4 linked regions of the Schizosaccharomyces pombe genome follow. The gene in region 3 interacts genetically with the main gene of each other region. Each region holds a gene or a part of one and is shown on either strand. Other genes may lie near its edges. The genes, in order: swi6, dcr1, ago1 and tfs1.

Region 1 (3,857 bases), on a different chromosome or scaffold from region 3:
CCTGATAAAGGGACTAGAAAATTTACATTTAAAAGCCTTGACGAAACAATGCTTGCACCTCTTGGATTCTTTCGCCCTGACATTTTTGAAAATGAAAATAAACTTCATGATCGGTATACTTTGTTTCCAGTGCCGGTCGATGTATATGACAACCAACCGAATAATCCCGAATCACTTGCCCAAACCACTTTATTGCAAATATCTACGCCGATATCCAACATCAAAGCTAATGGAAAAGATGATGAAGAGAAAAAAGAAGAAAGTGATTTGGTGACACCTTCGGTAAAATTCAAGCCTCCACGGGTAGTATATTGTGGCTCACTTGCTGCTCCAGAAATAAAGAATGAGAAACTGATATATCCTTTGGATGATGCAATCAACCAGAGTATATTTAGTGCATGTGATGGAAATTTAAGTGATGAGAAGGCAAAAAATCTTTACTCAAGCATTTTGATCGTCGGTGGAGCTGGTCAGTTCCCGGGCTTTGCTCATTTACTGGAAGAGCGTATCCATTCCAAGCGTGCCAACATCCCTACTATTTCGGTAATTCCTCCACCAAGAAGTATGGATGCTCAATTTGTTGCCTGGAAGGGTGCTTGTATATACAATCGCATTCGGATCGTATCGGAGCTGTGGATAAAAAACAGCGATTGGAAAATGTTAGGTAGCCGTGTCTTGCAATACAAGACATTGGGTTATTTTTGGACTGGCTAAACCATATGTTTATGCTTTCATATTCGTTACTAATTTTTTAATGCAACACCATATGTTTTTGCTATTTTTCATTATTTTTAGATGTTAATAAACCATGGTCTACAAAAACAGTACAGATGCCTCTAAGTTCATGTTTTTTGAAATTTTGAAGATACTTCATCAACTACTCATTCTTTTTGATATTTGAGTGCTCAAATAAGTTGAATTTATCATAATTTCCCTAAGTACGTATTTCTTTAAACGTACCATTTTGTATTTAAGTAATCTTTACATTCCAAAAATTGTAGTATCATTGTAAAAAAATTGAAAAAATAAACTCCCAAGGCGAGACTCGAACTCGCAACCTTCTGATTACCATCATAAGAGTCAGACGCTCTAAACCGATTGAGCCACTCGGGACTTCGTTGACGACTTAAGTTATTCAGTGTAATATGTAGTGCAAAAAGAATCCTCATAAGAATATATATTTTGTTGTTTGACGATGATTGCCTACGAAATTTAAAAGGTGGAATTGTTTTCTAGTTAAGATTGTTTATCAATCTTGAGAGACTCAGCATTGCTTTAGAAAACAAATCAGCATGCCAACCGTAACAGCCAAATATCTTGTTACTCGCAGCATTACTTAAAATGTTAATTTTATTTCTAACGGTAATATTTGTTCAATATTTTCGTATTTCGCATTAAGTAAATCACTAGGAAATTGAGATGCTTTTGAAATAATGATTATTACTGATAGTGATCTAAGCAAAATTAGGCGTCGTTAATCAACTTTTAGACAACGATTAATACAGTACTTCTATGCAATATTTTAATAAACGAACTCTATGTGATGCTAGCCATTCTGTACACCATGAAAAGCAAGCCAAACATGTCTCGCTAAACGAGCAAACAACCTGTAAAGACCAACGCGAAATTGATGTTTAGTACTTTTTAAAATATTCTGAAATCTCGTTTATTTTCATATTAAGACAAGTGAAAAATGAAGAAAGGAGGTGTTCGATCTTATCGGCGCTCCTCTACTTCAAAACGATCAGTTATTGACGACGATTCGGAACCAGAGTTACCAAGCATGACAAAGGAGGCTATTGCTTCTCATAAAGCAGACTCTGGGTCGTCGGACAATGAAGTTGAAAGCGATCATGAAAGTAAATCTTCGTCGAAGAAATTGAAAGAAAATGCCAAAGAAGAAGAAGGAGGAGAAGAAGAAGAAGAGGATGAATATGTTGTAGAAAAGGTTTTAAAACACCGTATGGCGAGAAAAGGTGGAGGCTATGAATACCTTTTGAAATGGGAAGGTTATGACGATCCCAGTGATAATACATGGAGTTCAGAAGCCGATTGTAGCGGTTGCAAACAGTTGATAGAAGCATATTGGAATGAACATGGAGGAAGACCAGAACCTTCTAAAAGAAAGAGGACTGCAAGACCTAAAAAGCCCGAAGCAAAGGAGCCTTCACCAAAGTCTCGTAAAACTGATGAAGATAAACACGACAAAGATTCCAATGAAAAGATTGAAGATGTGAATGAGAAAACTATTAAATTCGCCGATAAATCGCAAGAGGAATTTAATGAGAACGGCCCACCTTCTGGTCAGCCGAATGGTCACATTGAATCTGACAATGAGTCTAAATCTCCTTCACAAAAAGAATCGAATGAAAGTGAGGATATTCAAATAGCAGAGACCCCTAGCAATGTTACTCCGAAAAAGAAGCCTAGTCCGGAAGTTCCCAAACTTCCGGACAACAGAGAGCTGACGGTTAAACAAGTAGAAAACTATGATTCTTGGGAAGACTTGGTATCTAGCATCGATACAATTGAACGAAAAGATGATGGAACCTTGGAAATTTATCTGACTTGGAAGAACGGTGCAATATCTCATCATCCTAGTACTATCACCAATAAAAAATGTCCTCAGAAGATGCTTCAATTTTATGAAAGCCACTTAACGTTCCGTGAAAATGAATAATTTTTTTGTGTTCCTTTAAAAAATTCTTTTTCTTTTGTTTATAAATTAGATTTCGCTTTTTTCTGACGTTATTGCTTTTATCAAGTCCCGTGTCGTAGTATGAGTTCTTGTTCTCTTACTCGAAAAATGCATCTAACATTATACTTATACAAATTTTTGTTAGGCGCTTAACATCACATTCTAGTTTATGAACGCCTTTGTTTTCTTTCACATTGAATTGATTACGAGTGACTTGAGAAATGTAAAATACCTTTTGTCGTTATGGTTTGACATTCTAAATAACCTAAGGTTTGACATTCTAGATAACCTAATTTCTTTAATTTTACCATTTATTAATTTAGCATGCACTGCTCTTCATGCATTCAAAATCGTGTCTAATAATAACGTAATTTTACTCGTTAAATAAAGAATTTATGCATGCAAAATCGTTACTCATAAACCTCAGCAGATAAATTTGTTAACAAAAATGAGGGTGCATGAATATCTGCCTTCTCCGTTTCTTCTGTTCCATATGCTTCTAAGTTTGGGTTACCAACTGAACTCAAAGATAGGGTCAAGATGTAGTGTATCAAGTTTGAATCTTTATCAAGTACTATGTTGCCTCTTGAGAAATTCGTTTGAGAATAGCTGTATAGCTAAAGATAAATAAGGGTTTGAATGTAATTGTTGCTATGTAAACACAGTTGTAATTATAGATTTTTAATTGTTGCTGCTTTTGTACATTAGCAAAAAAAAATACAAGCAAGTTATGATGAAGAAGTCTGGTTATGCTATTTTTCTAAGAAGCTGGGATAAATTCATATTTTGTTCCTCTTTTTTTTTTTTTTTAAATATGTTTATGTCAGATTGGCAGATTTACCATATAAACACATAATGGCAAATTATGGCAAACTTTGCAAATGAACATGTATTTATCGAATTTCCTTGTTATCTTTTTTTATTGCTAGCAACACATGAAGACATCAGTCCCCTCTCGGCAATACATATTATCGATTGACACTACTGTATGCTGAGACTGAACAACAGAGTTCTCACTTGGACTTTTTGCTTGCTCCTCAAAGACTTTTAAAAAATTAAATAATAACTATTATATTTCTAACTGTTTTTAATCTAATTATTAGTCACAAGTTGCGCTTTTGTTATATATATGACTTCTATTCAAATTGTGTATACCTCT
Region 2 (8,003 bases), 1.2 Mb from region 3:
GACTGTCTTAAAAATAAAAAAAAGTACAATTTACGTTTTGTGTTTTTTTTGGATCAAGGCAGTTAATTCAACAGAAGTTCATATTTAGTCTTAAAAATTAATGTTTATTCTTCTAATGATTAAAGAGCTAGTAAATTTGAGCATCGTTTTTATTTGTATTCTTGTTTCAACTCTGGTAAACCAGGATTATGAAAGTATTTTGGTACAAGATGTGAAAAAGAATTAAAAGTCTTCTATGTAGATAATTTAATTTGTATATTTAAAAATTTTTGATGAGGCATATTTATTTATTTATCTGTGCTTTTTATCACTGGACATTCGGTTGTTTGTTTATATTTCGCTGATAAACGCTGTTTGAAACAAACCTGAACCTACTAAAGAGCAAAATACAGATAGTTCGAGAAATAAATTTTTACGATGTCTTTGACTGAAAACCTTCAATTATTATTAAATTTGGATAGTCTACCATCCAAAAGGTATGTTATCGTTACAATCTAGTCATAAATTCATAAATCATTCATTAACAAATATACCACAGAGAAAATTTAATAAAAAGAAAAGAATGTGGTTTAACAATCATGCTTTGCGGAGCCTCAGGTACTGGAAAAACAACGTTCTTCAATACTCTTTTTGCTACTTCTTTGCAACCAGAAAAATCATATGAAACGGCTAAGGAGACCATAGCCAAAAAGACCTTAGAAGTTAAAAAGAATAAGGCCGTAATTGAAGAAGATGGTTTTCATATCAATCTTACGGTGCTCGACACCCCAGGGTTCGGTGATTTCATTGACAATACCAGTTGCTGGAATACGGTTGCAGAATATTTAGACGAACAACACGAAAGGTATCTAATTCATGATCAAAACTCTCTCCGTGTACCAAGGAAAGACACTAGAGTCCACGTTTGTCTCTACTTTATTACGCCAGTTTCGTTTGGAATGCTTCCTTTAGATGTGTTAGCTATGAAGGAGCTATCGACCCATGTAAACCTTGTGCCAGTAATAGCAAAGGCAGATACATTTACAACTCCCGAATTAACACAAATAAAGCAAAAAATTAGAAGGATCCTGGAAGCTCAATCAATCGACGTTTTCCATCCATCAACAGAGTATTCTGATTACGAAACTGCCGAATTACTAGATTCATCCTTACCTTACGCTATCATTTCCAGTGTAAATGAAGTTTGCAAAGACGATGGGGAAAAATCGCAAGGGCGTCGTTACCCATGGGGAACCTCTGAAATATATGAAGAAACACATTGTGATTTTTTAAAATTGAAGAAATTGCTAATTAATAGGCATATGCTCGAGCTTATAAATACAACTGAAACCAACATCTATGAACGATATCGTAGAGAGCAGCTTACGAATCGAAAGAGTGGCATTCCTAAGCTGAAAAAAGAGCATTACGAACGCTTGAACAATGAGAAACGTGCGATTCAACAAAAGATAACACAAATGACTAATGAAACTGAAAGCTTCTTTCAGGCCAAAGAAGAGAAAATGATTGAAACTCGAGATGCTTTGAATTCGGAACTTTCTGAATATCACGAAAGGATCCGTGCTTTGGAGACCCAAATTGAAAGTTTGAAAAGTTACAAGGGCCGCGGTCATAAAAAATGAAATACTGTATATTTCAAGTCTCAAGTCAAACTTTTAACTTTTCCATCTCCTTTTATTTGCTCATCTGATGGCTTTTTCTTACTAAATTTGCAATTACAAGAATACAAAAGTAAGTTAGACTTATCCTCTAACAATTTGAGAAGTCTTTGTTTCATAATATACTTTGCATTGGCAACTTTACGGGATTTGCCGTAAGCAACAATATTCCCGTGGCGGAAGAATGAAAACCCATAATACTTTGTTAAATGGAGTTCAGTATTTAACAATGTTTTGTGACTGGATTTCACCTCCTCGATGACACACTTTGTTCCGAAGTCTTCACATCCCTGATCTTTCAGTAATTGGTATACCTTGTGTTCAATATCTCCTTTAGCCTTAGTATGTGTCGCATCCCCTAACGAATTAAGAAAAAGAGGTAAAACGAATTGTAGAGATTGTAAACTAAACCCAGAATCCAAAAAAATGGCACATATCATAGCTTCTAAAGTATCTGAAATGAACTTTGGTGAATCAATTTCAAACCAGAACCACGGATTCTCTGAAGCAGTCTCCCTGAACGCTTCAATTAATTCTTGATATTCAAATATTGCATCACACATTGCTGCGCTTTCATGTTGGATATATTTGTGCAAATTCAAAACAAAGCCAATGTATGATAGACTCTTGTTACACACATAAAAAGATTTGTAATCAGTTAATTCGCCAGAAGTTGCGTTAGGATACTTTTTATAAAGGTATTGTACGATAATGTAATCCAATACAGCATCACCCAAAAACTCCAACTGTTGATAGTTTTCGTAAATACCTTGCTGAGACATCATGGAAGGATGAATAAATGCCAAATGGAGTAGTTTCTTGTTTTTAAATGAATATCCAATAGTTTCCTCTATATACGAGGAGTAAGGGAATTGAACATTTCTCAGTGAATCCGCATATGTATTTAAATCAAAATAATTGTTCCACTCATCCCAATTGCTGATATCCAGCAGACCAACGCTTAAAGATTTACAGATCTTGAGTGCTGAGTCAAGTCCACTGTCTAAAAGACATGCACCGATACTAGCTTCGACCATATCTGCTATCCTCTTAACCGATAATTTCTGTAAAACGGCGTAGCGGCACTTATCCGATGTGCTTTTCTGAAAACCATATGGACACCAATGACGGATTTCCAAGGGAGTCGAGAGAGCATACTTCGGCAACTCACAATCTATTGCTACTTTATACAAATTACAGTTGCTAATAATTTTCTTTCGATTAAAATGCAGTTGGTACTCTTGAGTATCAGGAAATTTCAAAAAAACTGTAATAGAAGCACCCAATTTTAGAAAGCAGTCTCCGTAAAACTCTAGACGATCGTAATCAAAATTCAATTGTGATTCCGCAGATGTTAAAGCCTGACAAGCAGTGTCAATTTTACAATCAAGTCGAAAGTGTTCGATAAAAGAAGAGGCGACCAATAAGTTTTCAATATGGTACAGTATGGAGGGTATTAGCAAGGCGCTGTTTTTCAAATGTCTAGAGACTGGGAGAATATAGAGGTCATTGATATAAAAACTGCGCACTTGCTGTGATTTGGGAATGGATTTAGCTCTATTGCCCCAAAGTGAATAATTTAATCGTAAAGGAAGTTTCTTACATAAGGCAGAAGGGGCCTTATCTTTCTTTTTAGCAGGAATCATAAATTCAGAATTGACAAATCCCTCAAAAGCATACTGTTCATATATTGACTGTGGATTTACTAATAATACAGTATCGGATTGCAAATCAGTAACATTTTGAACAGGTTCCGGTAATTTAAAAAAATTTTGGATAGTGTCAACATCTATCAGATTTTCTAAGAACCGGTAATCCGTGCATGACAAATTTAAAGGCGCAAGCCAGTAAGGAGTAGGTATTTGTTGCTCAAGAGAAGTAGATAAACCGAATTGAAGTAGATAACGAGTTGATTTTTTTAACAACTCAAGCAGATGAGAATCGATCTTAAAACTATCCTCAATCGTTTCTAAAACAATTTTAACTCGGGGGCCAACAGTCGAATTAAGAATAAAGCTATCAATTTTGGGGAATGAATGAGCTTGTACAAACACTAAGGGATGGAATATATGATTGTCTCCTTCATTAGCATCAGTATAAAGTAAAGAGACGAAGCAACGTGTAATATCTTCAGGAACTTTCATCCAACTTTTTGGTACATAGCGCTCATATGTCTCGATATAACCTTCATCTTTTAGCTCGTCTTCCTCAAGAGTTTCAAGGTCGGCAATTTTTCTTCTAAAATCTAGGGGTTTTAAATGTTTGTCTATAAGACCCATACGAATCAGATCCAAACACATGATGAACGCAGCATTCTGTTTGGCTTTCCTAATTGATTTAGCGGGAGATCCTTGAGCCGCTGGAACTTTGCAGGCTTTTGGCAATTCTACCTCAAAACAATACCAACCTGAAAGACAGGGTTGAGCTGTAAAAGTGGGATAATATCTTGTGTATACGTCTCTTGAAAGTGTGTTACAAAAGTTATAAAGCAGACTAACTGCATACAACCCTGTGAGTAAAGCACCAGTCTCGCCAACTTCATAGACGATATCATCAGTCACACGTTCTCTTTCCTCACATACCAATGAATCAAAAATATTCGAATTGCTGAGCTCTGAAAGGGCAAATTTAAGATTTTTTTCTTCGTGTAGAATGCGTTCATGAATTAACAACTCTTCTGTGTTTAAAAAAATTAGAAACTTTGAAGCCATTGCTCTCGCTCTACCTCGAGATTGGACATACTGGGTGACAGTCCGACAAATATTGAAGCGTATAACTAAGTTACATGATGGTACATCGATACCTTCTTCTGCAACTGCAGTAGCAATTAAAACATTATATTTTCCAGTCTTAAACTTATGAAGGGTATCTTTTTGCCTCCTGAATGTCATAGAAAATTCACCCTGATCGGACGGTCCATGTCCTATAAAAGAATGAGCGCGGATGTTAGGCAGATTAAGAGTTTTCATAAACAAACTTAAAGTAAACGCCGTAGCTTTTCTTTCAACGAAAATAACCGTACGAACGCTATCACTTTTGCGGTAAGTAGCCTTTAACAATTCTAAGAGTTTAAAGACTTTATCAGTAACATCAGTGGAATCAAAAACAGGGATTCTAGGGCCATTGTCTGAATATTTGTTATTTTTCCAATCTTCAACAAATATTTTTAACCGGTCAATTGCCAGTTCCTCGTCATCTGACAACTGCTTCCCTAAAGCCTTTTTTTTTAATCTTTTCGTTTCCACAAAATCAACCAAATATAACCAAACTTGCTCCCCAAACCAAAGACCCATATCTATGGTTTCTGCTAAAGCAGTCTTAACAGCCCGAGAAATTAACTTGCATCCTTGAAGAGTTTCCTCGCATTTCTTGATAATAGAATCCGAGGGTGGCACAACCAACTTATTGGAATACATTACATAGCTTTCTTCGGGAAGACAGAAGTAATCGGCTAGCTCGTTTTCCGAAACCACGTGTGCTTTAGAATCAAATAATTGCTCCCATTGATACAGTCGATGGTATAAGTTTCCTTTTTTTCCAGTGAATGGTGAAGCAGTCATACCAAAAATTCTTGGTAGGGTGAAATGTTTTTTTGACAATACTGCTTTGGCTCTGTGATAAAAATCATTCATGATGCGAGCATACGCATCATTTCCAATTGCATGATGACATTCGTCGAATATAATTAAATTCAAATCATTTATTGAAAGAAAACCTCTTGCAAGAAACAAATAGAACAAATCTGCAGTAATAACAATCACATTATACTTCAATATAATATTAGTCAACAACTGCTCGCTCATTTCTATAGATAATTCGCCATAAAACATGCCAACCTTAGCCGGTAGTTGAGATCGAATGTATTCCGCTTGTTGAAATACCAAAGGGACTTTGTTGACGAGAAAAACTGATATTTTTTTATGTTCAAGATTTGATTCTTGGATTAAAATTTGCTCCTCGAGCTTTTGTTTTATCAACTTCACAGCAAGTAATGTCTTACCAGCGCCCGTTCTCATAACAAGTAAAGTATTTTGCTTGCTCGCGATATTATACACATCTTGTTGATATTTACGTAAAAGTTGAGGAAGTAGAAAACTTGAAATATCCATTCAAAAAGAAAATAAAGGCGGAAGGTTTCATTCAATTGACGAGAAATTTGTCTCTTAAAAAATAATGAATCCTAAGCTATTCAAATAAACATGCATATGTTCATCTTTACCAGAAGAAAAAGAACAATCACACGAGCAGAATACTTCCTATAATTGTTTGTGAGATTGATAAAAACAGACGCAATACTATTGATAGCTTCTAAATTCGTTGTTAAGGGGAATCATTACACTTATAGATTCTGGTGTTTTAAGAGAAAAGTAGGTGGTAGTTTTTTACAACATAAGTTACGCACTTTAATAAAAAATGATTAAACGCCTATGCTTTATTTTAAAATGTTTAAAAAAAAAAAAAAAAAAAAAAGGAAAATTGCATATACATATTATTATTAAATCAATATTATTGAATGAAGAAAGGACTGTACGACTTGCTTGTAAATCCGTGAAATTCAGTTACGTTGAATTACTGGTTTCCAATGCTTTATGCTAGAATGATTCGGTTTTTTAAGAATTATTTACATAATATTTTAATAATAAATACATACATATATATCTGTTTACGCGTTCACTGCCTGCTCTTATCGGAACATAGGAAAACTTATTAAAAAAATATTAGAAAACATTAAACATACAATACTTTTTTATTATAAAGTGGTAAAAGCGAAATTATCAATAATAGAAAAACTGCTTTCGTAGAAAACCAATACAACATTTACAATGAATTAGTTTTTTAAATAAAATAGAAGTTGAGAAGTTGCTAATTAGTATCCACTTAATGATGAAAACAATATTATTTGAAGTCTCTAAAATGAAAAGTATTCAAATTTTTAAAAAATTTTAAAACATTCTCGCTCGTTTACACAGACTGCAGTCTTTCAATAAACATAAGCGAATGCACAATTTTGCCAGATGCCTTGCCCATGTCCATCAGTATAGGTATTAGGATGACAAGATCGATTTAGTACACAAACAAGAGAACGAATGAATTTCAGAGCTTGTAGCACAAGACCATTAACAAGAATCATATTCAATATGAGAGCAGCACAACTATCAAGTTCAGAGTATAAGTGATAAGTCTATATGAAGTTATTTTAATAAAACGAAAAATAGTATGAAAAAAAAATTCGAAGACACGAAATTAAAAACAACAGGACAAAAAAAAGGAAAAAAAGAATACAAAACCAGAGAGTTTAATATAGAAAAGCTCTGAAAAAAAGATGGATGCACGTTCACTCTTTGTTTAAGCCCAAAATGCATCGAATTATTTATGCTTGAATATTTTTGTTAAAAGATGCTTATGAAATAAAAGTAGTCTCATTAAAAAGCGTGGCTTCATCTTCAATAACCTCGTCACCCATCTTCAGTGTAAATTTGACAGGTGAGAAATATTGGTAGATGAAAGGTTTCGTTCCAGAGACTCCATGGACGAAACCCTTAAGCCAAGATGGTATCTCGGCAAGAACGTCGATGCGTTGAAGACGTCTTCCCAAAGGAGCATCGACTGAAAGATGAATATCTTCGGTGTATGTTTCAGCATCCTTTCCGTCCCATTCGTAGGAAATGCGAGTGGGTTCATGCCATTCCGTATCGGGATCGAGTGTGGTCTCAACGTGCTCAATAGTATTATCGACAGTTGCACTAATAATTTTGTCTTTCATAGCGATACCACCAATATTGACAATAGTAGAACCATAGCTAGGGGGTGTCTTGAACTGCATCATGATGGCGGTAAACTTTTTATGCTGCAAGAGGGCAAACTCCCAAGATGAAGCAAGATGGTGGGGTTTGCCATTTTGGAGTGCATGAACAAACATGCCGGGACCAGTGACATCCACAACTCTACCCCTTGCAACGATGCTACCTTCAACACGAGTGCGAGGCCAAAAGGTATGCTTCATGGAAGCCCAGGGCTTACTAGGATCTGTTCCATAAGTAGAATTTCCATCTTCACCGATTTTAAAAGGAGGAGCGTCTTGATGGACAGTTATATCGATGATGGAGTCCATGTTGATGGAGGCACGAATTCGGTAACGCTTTTGGTCTTCCAACACGACAGAGCAATTTTTGGCGACAAAGGAGGTTTTGTCATTTTCAAAGCTAAATTGATCCATGTTGGTAGAAGTCCACAAATCGTTTTCAGGATGCTTCAAATCGAAAATGCGACACGTAGATTGAGCGGTGGTTGTCCAAGAACCCAAGTTGGAATGTATCAATTGAACAAAGCACATATAGTCACCCT
Region 3 (5,549 bases):
CAAATCAGTTAAGTAAAATTATCATTATTGACTTGTTTTTGCTCCTCTAAACGAAATCTTAACACAGTATGCAATGTTTGGTTCTTGAACTTAACCCAAATACTCTAAAAAATTAGAAATTCTGATTCTCTTCAAACAGGCTGTTTTCAAATTTGAATGATTTTGCTTTGAATGATGTTTTTTCTTAATAAAAAAGCTAGATGAATCTGAATTAGACAAATAGGTAAATTGGTTGTTCAACCATTGTGCATGGAATTTATCGATTTTAATCACTTCTTCTGAGATCCTTAAGTATCATTTAGTTTATCTGTATTTCTATATTGGCGTGACACTTACATAAAGTTCGGGCTTTGGGTTAAGTGAATGTCATTAGTATTATCGTTATCAACATTTGTTGATCGTTGGAACATGGTCAAGCTATCAACAGTGGATAGAGCATAAAAAAACTAACATTAAATGATTAAAGAAAATTACAATAATATAAAGCAAAATAAAAACAGAAGCAGATTTAATAAGGAAGTAAAAGTTGTGGGCAATCCAGTAGTCAATCGTATATCTATTTCATTACTTATTGCATGCAATCCATCAAACATTACATATACCACATCTTTGTTTTCAATTTACTTGATAGAGCTAAAAGCGGCTTTACTTCTTGATCCATTGATGCTTCTGATGTCTCAACAAAAGTATCATCGGCTGTCACGTCTTGATAACGGGCTAAGTTACTAACCAAATGCGCATAATAAACAGGTGGAACCAAGGAAACAGCACTTGTTGCTCTTGCATAAACATAACAAAGATTATAACACAGTGTTTGGAATTGGTCCGGTGGCATCTGAATTTCGTCGTGCAAAACCGTGTAGTGAACTGGGACCGAAACGCCTTGCAGAGATGGGTGGGATATAAGGTAAAAATCGTACTGATAGGGGTGAGTAACATGCTTTTCAATAATTGTACCAGGGAGGGGATTTCCATTTCTATCTCCGTCGGATTTGTTCTTAATGAAGAAACGAGCGTGATGTCTCTTCTGCGTTGTGCATACTAGAATCTTTGGATTGTATTTTGGTGATAGACTATGACACGCTTCTTTAATCTGAGAAAGCTCATCGTTTATTACTGATAAAAATTGTCCTTCCGAGGTACCGTCACGGAAATAGATAATACGTTGTGGTTGTTGTTTAGTCATTGCCCTAAACCCTTGCAATAGATATACCACGATATCCTTCATTCCTTCAATCACTTCTTGATGACGAGGTTGGGAACGTGAAACAGCCGTATACTTGCAGCCATTTAGGTCTACCGATGCCACAATTGAAGCAATCGAAACACCTGTTGCACCAACCCCAGGGTGATAAACATCTCCACCAAGAATAAGAGTAGGAACATTTCCCAAAGGGTTGGATTTGGGTATCAACGAGCAATTAATTCCTCCAACCTTGACATTAATCTTCATGCCTAAGTTTGCACAGTATTGGGGCTTGCTTTGTAAAATATGTTTGCTAATAGCACATTGAGAAGGAACCCCTAACATAGTATTGCAAACACGTTTAATGGAACCATATGGTTCAGGCGAATTTTTATCCAAAATAAAAAAGAGATAGTCAGGAGGAGCATTACCAACCTGTTCAGCTTTTTTATATAACGTTATACATAGTTCTTCAACACTCCCTCTAATATCTGCATACAAAACTGGAGGTTTTTTCATAACAAAATTAATTCCCAACGAAGTGAGTGTTTGTACATATGTTTGCAGGAAATTTTCAATACCCCTCATAGGGAGTCTACGCGTTGAAGTAAAACACATTACAGCCCAAGATCTAATAGGAGCCCTCGGCGGATCAAGGAACCGTTTACCACGTAAATTCCAACGTCCACTAACGGGACGCTCAATGCAATCTCCTCCGTAACGAATAGAAGGAGTTTCTAAAACACGAGCTGGAACTTCGAGCATCTTTTTCTGAATTTTCATACCATATTGGGTTAGGTAGGGATCTGTATCCCAATCCATCTGATGGACAAAATCATCGATTTGCTGGACACGTTCGAAAGGTCGTTGGACCGCAAAACGGATCATGTTGGCAGTTTGATCACTATTCAGTTTTGCAGTATATCTCTGACCTTTTACAACAAAACAGAATTCAATAGGAAGCATCGCCCCGTTCTTTACTAATATGCAAGGTAGGTTAGGATATTGCAAACGAACATTGTGATTTTCAAGAAAGTATTCAGCTACAGAGATTTTTTGCTCTTCACCATTAAGACGGCGAACAAAAAAGCTATCACTGGCACTTTTTGAGGAAAATCCCTCGATGGAATAAACTCTATTCGCCAGGTCAGTACCGACATTATTGCGATGCTGACAGGTCACCTTTAGAAACCGAAACTTGCGGGAAAGACGTTTTAGGTCAAAACGTGTTAAGTCTCTAACGTTCGAGCAATCTGTGTATTCCATAAGGATCTGAAGTAAAGAATCATTACGCCAAAATGCACTCGAAGATATATCTACATTAACAGACATGAAACCCTGATTCGGTCGTATAGACTGGTAAAACCCTTTCCAAGCCTCTACTCCACCTCCAAGTGAAACTCCGTTTTCACCTGTAAAAAAAGAATGCATGAAGCCAAACAAAGTCTCAGATGGTTTCTTCTTTAACAGCAAATCCAGAAACATTATACTGCTTAGAACTTGCGGATCCGAAGAATACTTTGAGTTTACAAACTGGCTAAGAGTATGCAAATTAATTTTAGATGATTTTTGAATAGAGAATTCAATTTCTCGAGGGTGCGACTCACTGCCTATGTTTACCTTGATGGTGCCATCAGCAATATCACCTTTAGACCAACACATGCTTCGCCCATCATAAACAGAATTCATCCAGGAAGATCCAAAATACTGTTTAACTTCTTTAGAATTCCAAATCAACTGGGATTGCTTTCGTGGGACACGTGAACCATCACCTACTATGACCTACAACAAAAGGCGTTAATTTGATGCAATTCTACGTTAATGTACAAAATTTGAGGAAGAGATGAAATACAAAAGAAAAGAATCGTGCAATGCAAGACAGATACAAAATGATGTAGCAGGCAAAGTAAACAACAGAACATTAAAAGAAAGTGAGAAAATAAACCAGGTATAGTAAAGTAAAGTCGAATAACGAATGAAGCTAACAAGTACCTTTAAACAATTCCAGTAACACTTGCACGATTTATTTCTGTATTTATATTTATATTTCAGACAAGAAAGGCCACGTGTTCTGTTATGCTTTTACTTTAAATGTGTAAATTTCCTTTACAGTGCTCTAATTCCATAAAAATGTGCGATTTCTAGGAACTTACATGATACTGGTTGATAGTCTCGTTAGGTAAAGAAATGATTTGAAAAAAGTTAGCTTTCAAAGTAATCTGCTTGCCCAACCCTCCATAACCGGGACGTAAAGCTATTTCTGAGCTTGGTTTATACGACATCCTACTCACTCTGAATCATAAAGGACGAGTTGGCTGAAGACAATTCGCTTTGGCGGTTGGAAGCTTATATATACCAAACCCTAGATTAGGACTCATCATAGTTGTCTTGTATATAAAACCTACTTGAGTTATAAACTATATTAAATCAAAAAACTATCAAGAAAATATTTTATTTATCACTTTGTTATTTACATGCTTAATACATTCGAATTTTCTATATACTAAGGTCTATTTCTATACTTCTCTGAGCACGCAAACGCAACATAAGTCTTATTTAATTTCTGAACATAAGAAATATAAGCTTATCTTTAACAGCTTTTCTTAAATTACCGCATAATTTTGTATAGGTTTATGTTTTTTTAAAGGTTCCAAATCGACGGATTTTTGAGTTTTAACCCTTCTTTCTTTATATCGTGGTTGTGATTCAATAAAAGTGAACCCAATTGTTATTTGTAACCATTGACGAAAATTATAGTACATTGAATTACTATTTGTTTACTAGTTCTATATTAACAATACCGGGAGGTTCAAAATCAATGATTACTACTTGTTTTCTTTTTCTTGTTATATTTGCTTGCTTGAAATCCTCTTTATAGTTATAATACATTTTTACAACCTGCTTTTGAGAATATTAATCTGGCAACTTTCAAGTAAATGATTTCGGTAATTGCACTGATTTTTGAAAAGTGTTGATTTCGAACGTCTTTCAAATTAAAACGGACATTTTTTTATGAAATTAAAATGCCTTGTGCTTTGTGTAATACTCGTTAAACAGCTTACCGAAACTAACAACCTTTTTAAGAAGCGAAACTTAATTAAATCAATATATTATACTGAGTAAATCAGTAATTTCTGGACGATCGGCCACATAAAGAAGCATTATAAATCGTTCTCCATACTGTTAGGCTTTTGTTTTCAATTCACGTTTTCTTTTCTGTAATTAAAATATCAGTAAAGAATTCGTTATGCCATTATTTTATAAAAAATTTTTATAATCCTATACAATTGTGAATTTACATTGTATTCAAATGCTTTTTTACATCCCTATATTTTACAGGCGTTCGCTGTTGTACCGCTTGTTTTTTTGAACACTGCTTATTATAATTTTTTCGATTATTACATTTGCGAATACCTTTCGAGGATTTTGGAACTACTAAACGCACAAAAATTCGCTTCCCACTTCTGACAACTTTGTGGGTTTCATGGTAATTTGAATGCTATAATATTAACAGATTGACACAGCGATTTAGATCCATATTTTATTCTGTACAAAGTAAATCTCTAACATTTGGTAGACGGCTTTTGCCGTAATAACCGTTGGTTTTGCAATTTTGCGCCTTGTTTTCCAAACATAGTAAACCGGTGCTTTTAGTTTATTATATAGTGATTTATTGTGAACTTTAGTATCGTGTCGTTAATATACTACTATCCAGTGATTACTGCAATGTCCATTAACTTGCTAATAGTGTGTAACACTAGCTACACCGTTCACTACTTACTATTCTTCCAGTACAGAGAGAGGTATTTGGAAGTGACTAGCTAAACTGCATTCATACCTCTTTTCTTTCCTCAAAACACCATTCTGTATAGAAAAAAAAGGCTTTTATTGTTGGACTGCTTATAAAAGATTAGGATTGTGTTAAAAAAGTCGAAATGCAATTGCATTATGTTTTTTCGCATTTGCAAAATTCATTTCGCGCTCGCAAGTCGTTAGCAAGCGTTCCTAACTGTAACAGTGTGCTCGAGTTATGTGCTGTTTTGTATCATCAAGGATTTTTAAGCTCGATTCAACGCGGAGATATTCATGGACCCGATGCTTTACCCACAATCACCACTAGGCAAAATGTAGCGACCCGCCGTCTATGGTTGGGTTTAAAGTACTTTGAGGGAAAACCGGTTCTTCACTACATACGTGCAGTATCAAAGCCTAGTAGAAAGGTGAACTTGACTCCTTCTGAGTTGTTGCAATTTGCCAAAGGAAGGAAAGTTAGCTTTGTGAATGGGTTGGAGCCTGCAGAAGTTGGAATTGTAGAAACTAAACATGGTATAATGAGTATTGACGATGCAATTAAGAATAATTT
Region 4 (3,570 bases), on a different chromosome or scaffold from region 3:
CGTGGTTTTGATCGTTTACGTGAAGCTGGTTTTACAGAAACCGAGGTCAATAATTTGCGTAGCCAATTTCATCGCTTACGAGGAACTAATTTGGATTCACTCACGGAAGACGCTATCAGAGAGGCAGAAGACGATTGGATTGACAATGGAGGACAAAACTCTTCTGCCGACGAACTTGACATGTCATATGAAACCTTGTTGGCTGGAGTATTAATAGGCTTTTTTGGAGGAGCTATTGCTTGTTATTTTCTTTGGGAAAGGACAATGTTCTCTCTGAGAATGCAATTATCCATTCTTGTCGGAATTATTTGCAATTTTGCATACGGCTTATTACACTCGTATCGATGGTAAACCCGTTCATTTTTGTTAAAATTTTTGTCCAATACAATTAATCGTTCCACTTTTCGTTGCACTTGTTAATTATGACTACAGTTTAATTGAGGATTAATAATGTCGAATTTTATGATCTATTCGCTTTGATCAAGCGTTAACTTATTAAATGTACGTTTAAAACACCATTTGGATTTATTAAGAAGTGTAAAGTAGGATAACTGTAAAAGTGTCGTATTGAGTGTGCAAAAGTAAAATATGCATATATTCATCGCTAGAATGAAAGATACCAATCAGATCCTAAAACAAAAAAAAACACACACAATAGAGGAGAGTGCTTCTAAAACAATAAAAAGAAGAAGAAATATGAAGGATTATTTTACAACCGGTATCTAAATGGGCTGACCCAAGATTTAAGAAAATTTCCAGCGATTTCCGCAAACAGTACATTCACAAAACTAAAAAAAAATTAGTCCAAATATTCTACCCAAATAGACTAATGCTTACCGTTGTCATAGGCTCATCAGCAGATCTATACGGATTGTTAATAAATTTTACGCGATAAAAAGTACTAAAATCATGACAAATAACATACCTTGTTTGCATTTGGTAATAAGAAACTTTTTTTTGCTTACACTTCCCACAAGTAAAAAGGTCTGTAACAGCTTTTTGGGGTTTAGCACCTTGCGCATGGAATAAATTTTCTTGTTCTAGCTTGGCATCTTCCTTGCGACGGTCTTCTGAAGCCAATTCGGCAGAAGTCATGGTACTGAGTCTTTGCGGAGTAATTTCATTTCGTAATACTGATGCTCTAAGTTTCGGGTTATTTTTATCTTTAAGATTCATATACAAGGACCGCATTCTGTTTCGATATTCAGAACCAGTTTTACCTGCTGCTCTAGCAAGTACTTGCGCATCAATTTCTTTGGCTTTGGCTATTATTAATGAAGAAGATTCATCCGAATCTATGACTAATGCATTGTACATTAATCCAATACAGTTGTTGCGAATCTTGTCATCAGTCACATTGACGTTCACATTATCAGATTTAAAAGTACGCTGACCACTGCTGCTTTGTTTTTGAACTTGTTTTTGAGCTTGAGAACCTACATCCGCATGTTTAGAAGGCGTGGAGGAAGTTGTAGTTGTGGTTTTCAATGGACGACCTTTACTAACATCGGCTTTCCATTTTTTTACAATTTCCCGAGCTTGCTCACCAACTTTCTCATTGGGATGAGATCTGAGCTTGCCAACGACTAATCCCAGCCGGGTTTCCTAGCATCATTGGTTAGTATTTTGAATACCGATTCTCCATCAAATGTTGGTACTCTTGTGGAATTCGTATTTTAAGAAAGATGTTATTTCTATTAAGTGAAATTTGCAAAATTCATGTAATATATTGTCAACAATCCGTGCGAGAATACTACCATATTGCATGTAATAAACCTACCTTAAGTAATTCTTCGGTAGCAACTACTTCATTTTTTAAACGTGTCATAATGTTAATTATAGTCTAGCTTGATATTAGCTTCAAAACCATCTGTAAGTCCCAATAGCACAAATTACAAACCTCTATATTCTTTCCCTGAATAGCTTTTTCCAAAGCTGCTTTCGCAGATCGGATATCAGCAGAGTCCATGATTCAAATTAAGTTCGAATACTGTAAACACTGCTGTTGGTTAGCAGATTGCAAAATTAATAATCTTATGGTGGTAGAGGATTTATTTTGGATAACGCGCTTTACATCTCACATGTCTACTAATACCGTTGTGATTTTTCTTCACCACCATAGTTGCTGATGTGAATATCAACACCCCGTAACGTGATTTTGTTAGTTGAATTCTTGAGTTTGACAGTTTTTTTTTCAAGTTTGCAAACTGTTTTCTGTTTATCGCATTAGTACTCGTGTTTATTTTACAACGTTAAATTTTCATGCTCCTCCGCTGACTTGATCTTACTCAATTGTTAATTGTTTTATCAGCTTTGTTTATGAAAAGCAAAGATTATAATGTTGTTTGATCAAATTGAAGAAACTTGATGTTCAAGAATTTAAAAGTTTGATATTCAGTTTATTTTTGAAACTTACTTTGGTCTATGTGTTCGTTCGTTTTCATAAATTTAGTTTCATGATTGTACTGAGAGACTCAAGTGACTATTCCGACTCTGAAGTAGACCTGCCAAGTATCGAGGTGAACGGAGAACGAGGAAATGTTCCTACCTCAGTGCTTTGTAATGTTGAAGGATCTTTGTTGAATTCTAATCCTGCTTTAAGGCAACCAAATTTGAAATGTATAAAACATAATCAAGACGTTGAAAATACTACGTTTCAACTAGACTTGCGAGGCTGTAGGGTTCCTTCTTCTCAACCTCAAGTTATAACTGAGTTAGAAAACAATATTGACATTCCAAAAAATATTGATGCAATGCAAAACTGGATTTTTCCACAGACTCAGCAGTATAGAAATTATCAAAAGGAATTTTGTGAGCAAGCATTATTCCACAATTTATTACTGGCTCTACCTACTGGGTTGGGAAAGACATTTATTGCGGCAGTGGTCATGTTAAACTATTTTCGTTGGTTTCCTGAAAGCAAAATAATATTTCTTGCCCCCACAAAACCATTACTGTTGCAACAAAGAGTTGCTTGTTCCAATGTAGCGGGAATGTCACCAGGTGCTACCGCTGAATTGAACGGTGAAGTATCACCGGATCGTCGACTTTTCGAATACAATACGAAACGAGTATTTTTCATGACTCCACAAACACTCCAGAATGATTTAAAGGAACATTTACTGGATGCCAAAAGTATTATTTGCCTGATATTTGATGAAGCTCATAGAGCTACTGGCAACCATTCGTATGCTCAGGTTATGAGGGCAGTGCTTAGATCTAATAGTCATTTTCGAGTCCTTGGTTTAACCGCAACTCCAGGATCTTCTACCGCCTCTGTTCAAAAGGTAGTAGATTGCCTCCATATCTCCAAACTCATTGTTCGCAACGAAGAAAGTATAGATATTCGCTCATATGTTTTTCATAAAAAGATTCAGTTGATTAAGGTCACGATCTCCTCTGAAATGAATATTTTAAAATCGGACTTTGCTAACCTATACCGGCCATATTTTAATTTTCTCCGTCAAAAAAAACTTATACCTATCAATTGTGAATGCCTTAATATAAAAGCTTATACGCTTTTCGTTTCTTTACGAAAGTATTCCTTTAGTTCAAAAAATGTACAATCTA

The links.
Region 1: mutations in ago1 (region 3) and swi6 together harm fitness less than expected from each alone (positive genetic interaction), as found in Schizosaccharomyces pombe (3 studies listed by BioGRID, with this or other methods).
Region 2: of ago1 (region 3) and dcr1, changing one suppresses a phenotype caused by changing the other (phenotypic suppression), as found in Schizosaccharomyces pombe (3 studies listed by BioGRID, with this or other methods).
Region 4: of ago1 (region 3) and tfs1, changing one suppresses a phenotype caused by changing the other (phenotypic suppression), as found in Schizosaccharomyces pombe (3 studies listed by BioGRID, with this or other methods).

The regions. Positions count from the first base shown.
Region 1 is NC_003424.3:1,701,838-1,705,694, reverse strand, and holds swi6 (heterochromatin (HP1) family chromodomain protein Swi6), read left to right. Parts: upstream 1-1,596; 5' UTR 1,597-1,693; coding exon 1,694-2,680; 3' UTR 2,681-3,289; downstream 3,290-3,857. Other genes in the region: Ino80 complex actin-like protein Arp8, read left to right, coding at 1-714.
Region 2 is NC_003421.2:1,504,524-1,512,526, forward strand, and holds dcr1 (dicer), read right to left. Parts: upstream 6,035-8,003; 5' UTR 5,768-6,034; coding exon 1,643-5,767; 3' UTR 1,623-1,642; coding exon of another isoform or gene 539-1,622; 3' UTR 477-538; downstream 1-476. Other genes in the region: septin Spn6, read left to right, coding at 418-476, 539-1,622; ER to Golgi ceramide transport protein, lipocalin superfamily Svf1, read right to left, coding at 7,060-8,003. UniProt on the Schizosaccharomyces pombe protein: Required for G1 arrest and mating in response to nitrogen starvation. Ago1 regulation of cytokinesis and cell cycle checkpoints occurs downstream of dcr1. Required, indirectly, for regulated hyperphosphorylation of cdc2.
Region 3 is NC_003421.2:332,056-337,604, reverse strand, and holds ago1 (argonaute), read right to left. Parts: upstream 3,527-5,549; 5' UTR 3,469-3,526; coding exon 3,340-3,468; intron 3,134-3,339; exon of another isoform or gene 2,969-3,133; coding exon 593-2,968; 3' UTR 535-592; downstream 1-534. Other genes in the region: mrps8 (mitochondrial 37S ribosomal protein uS8m), read left to right, coding at 5,122-5,549. UniProt on the Schizosaccharomyces pombe protein: Required for G1 arrest and mating in response to nitrogen starvation. Ago1 regulation of cytokinesis and cell cycle checkpoints occurs downstream of dcr1. Required, indirectly, for regulated hyperphosphorylation of cdc2.
Region 4 is NC_003424.3:2,114,413-2,117,982, forward strand, and holds tfs1 (general transcription elongation factor TFIIS), read right to left. Parts: upstream 2,045-3,570; 5' UTR 1,970-2,044; coding exon 1,901-1,969; intron 1,844-1,900; coding exon 1,781-1,843; intron 1,606-1,780; coding exon 926-1,605; intron 863-925; coding exon 838-862; intron 789-837; coding exon 744-788; 3' UTR 501-743; downstream 1-500. Other genes in the region: protein dsc3, read left to right, coding at 1-351; ATP-dependent 3'-5'-directionality DNA helicase fml2, read left to right, coding at 2,457-3,570. UniProt on the Schizosaccharomyces pombe protein: Necessary for efficient RNA polymerase II transcription elongation past template-encoded arresting sites.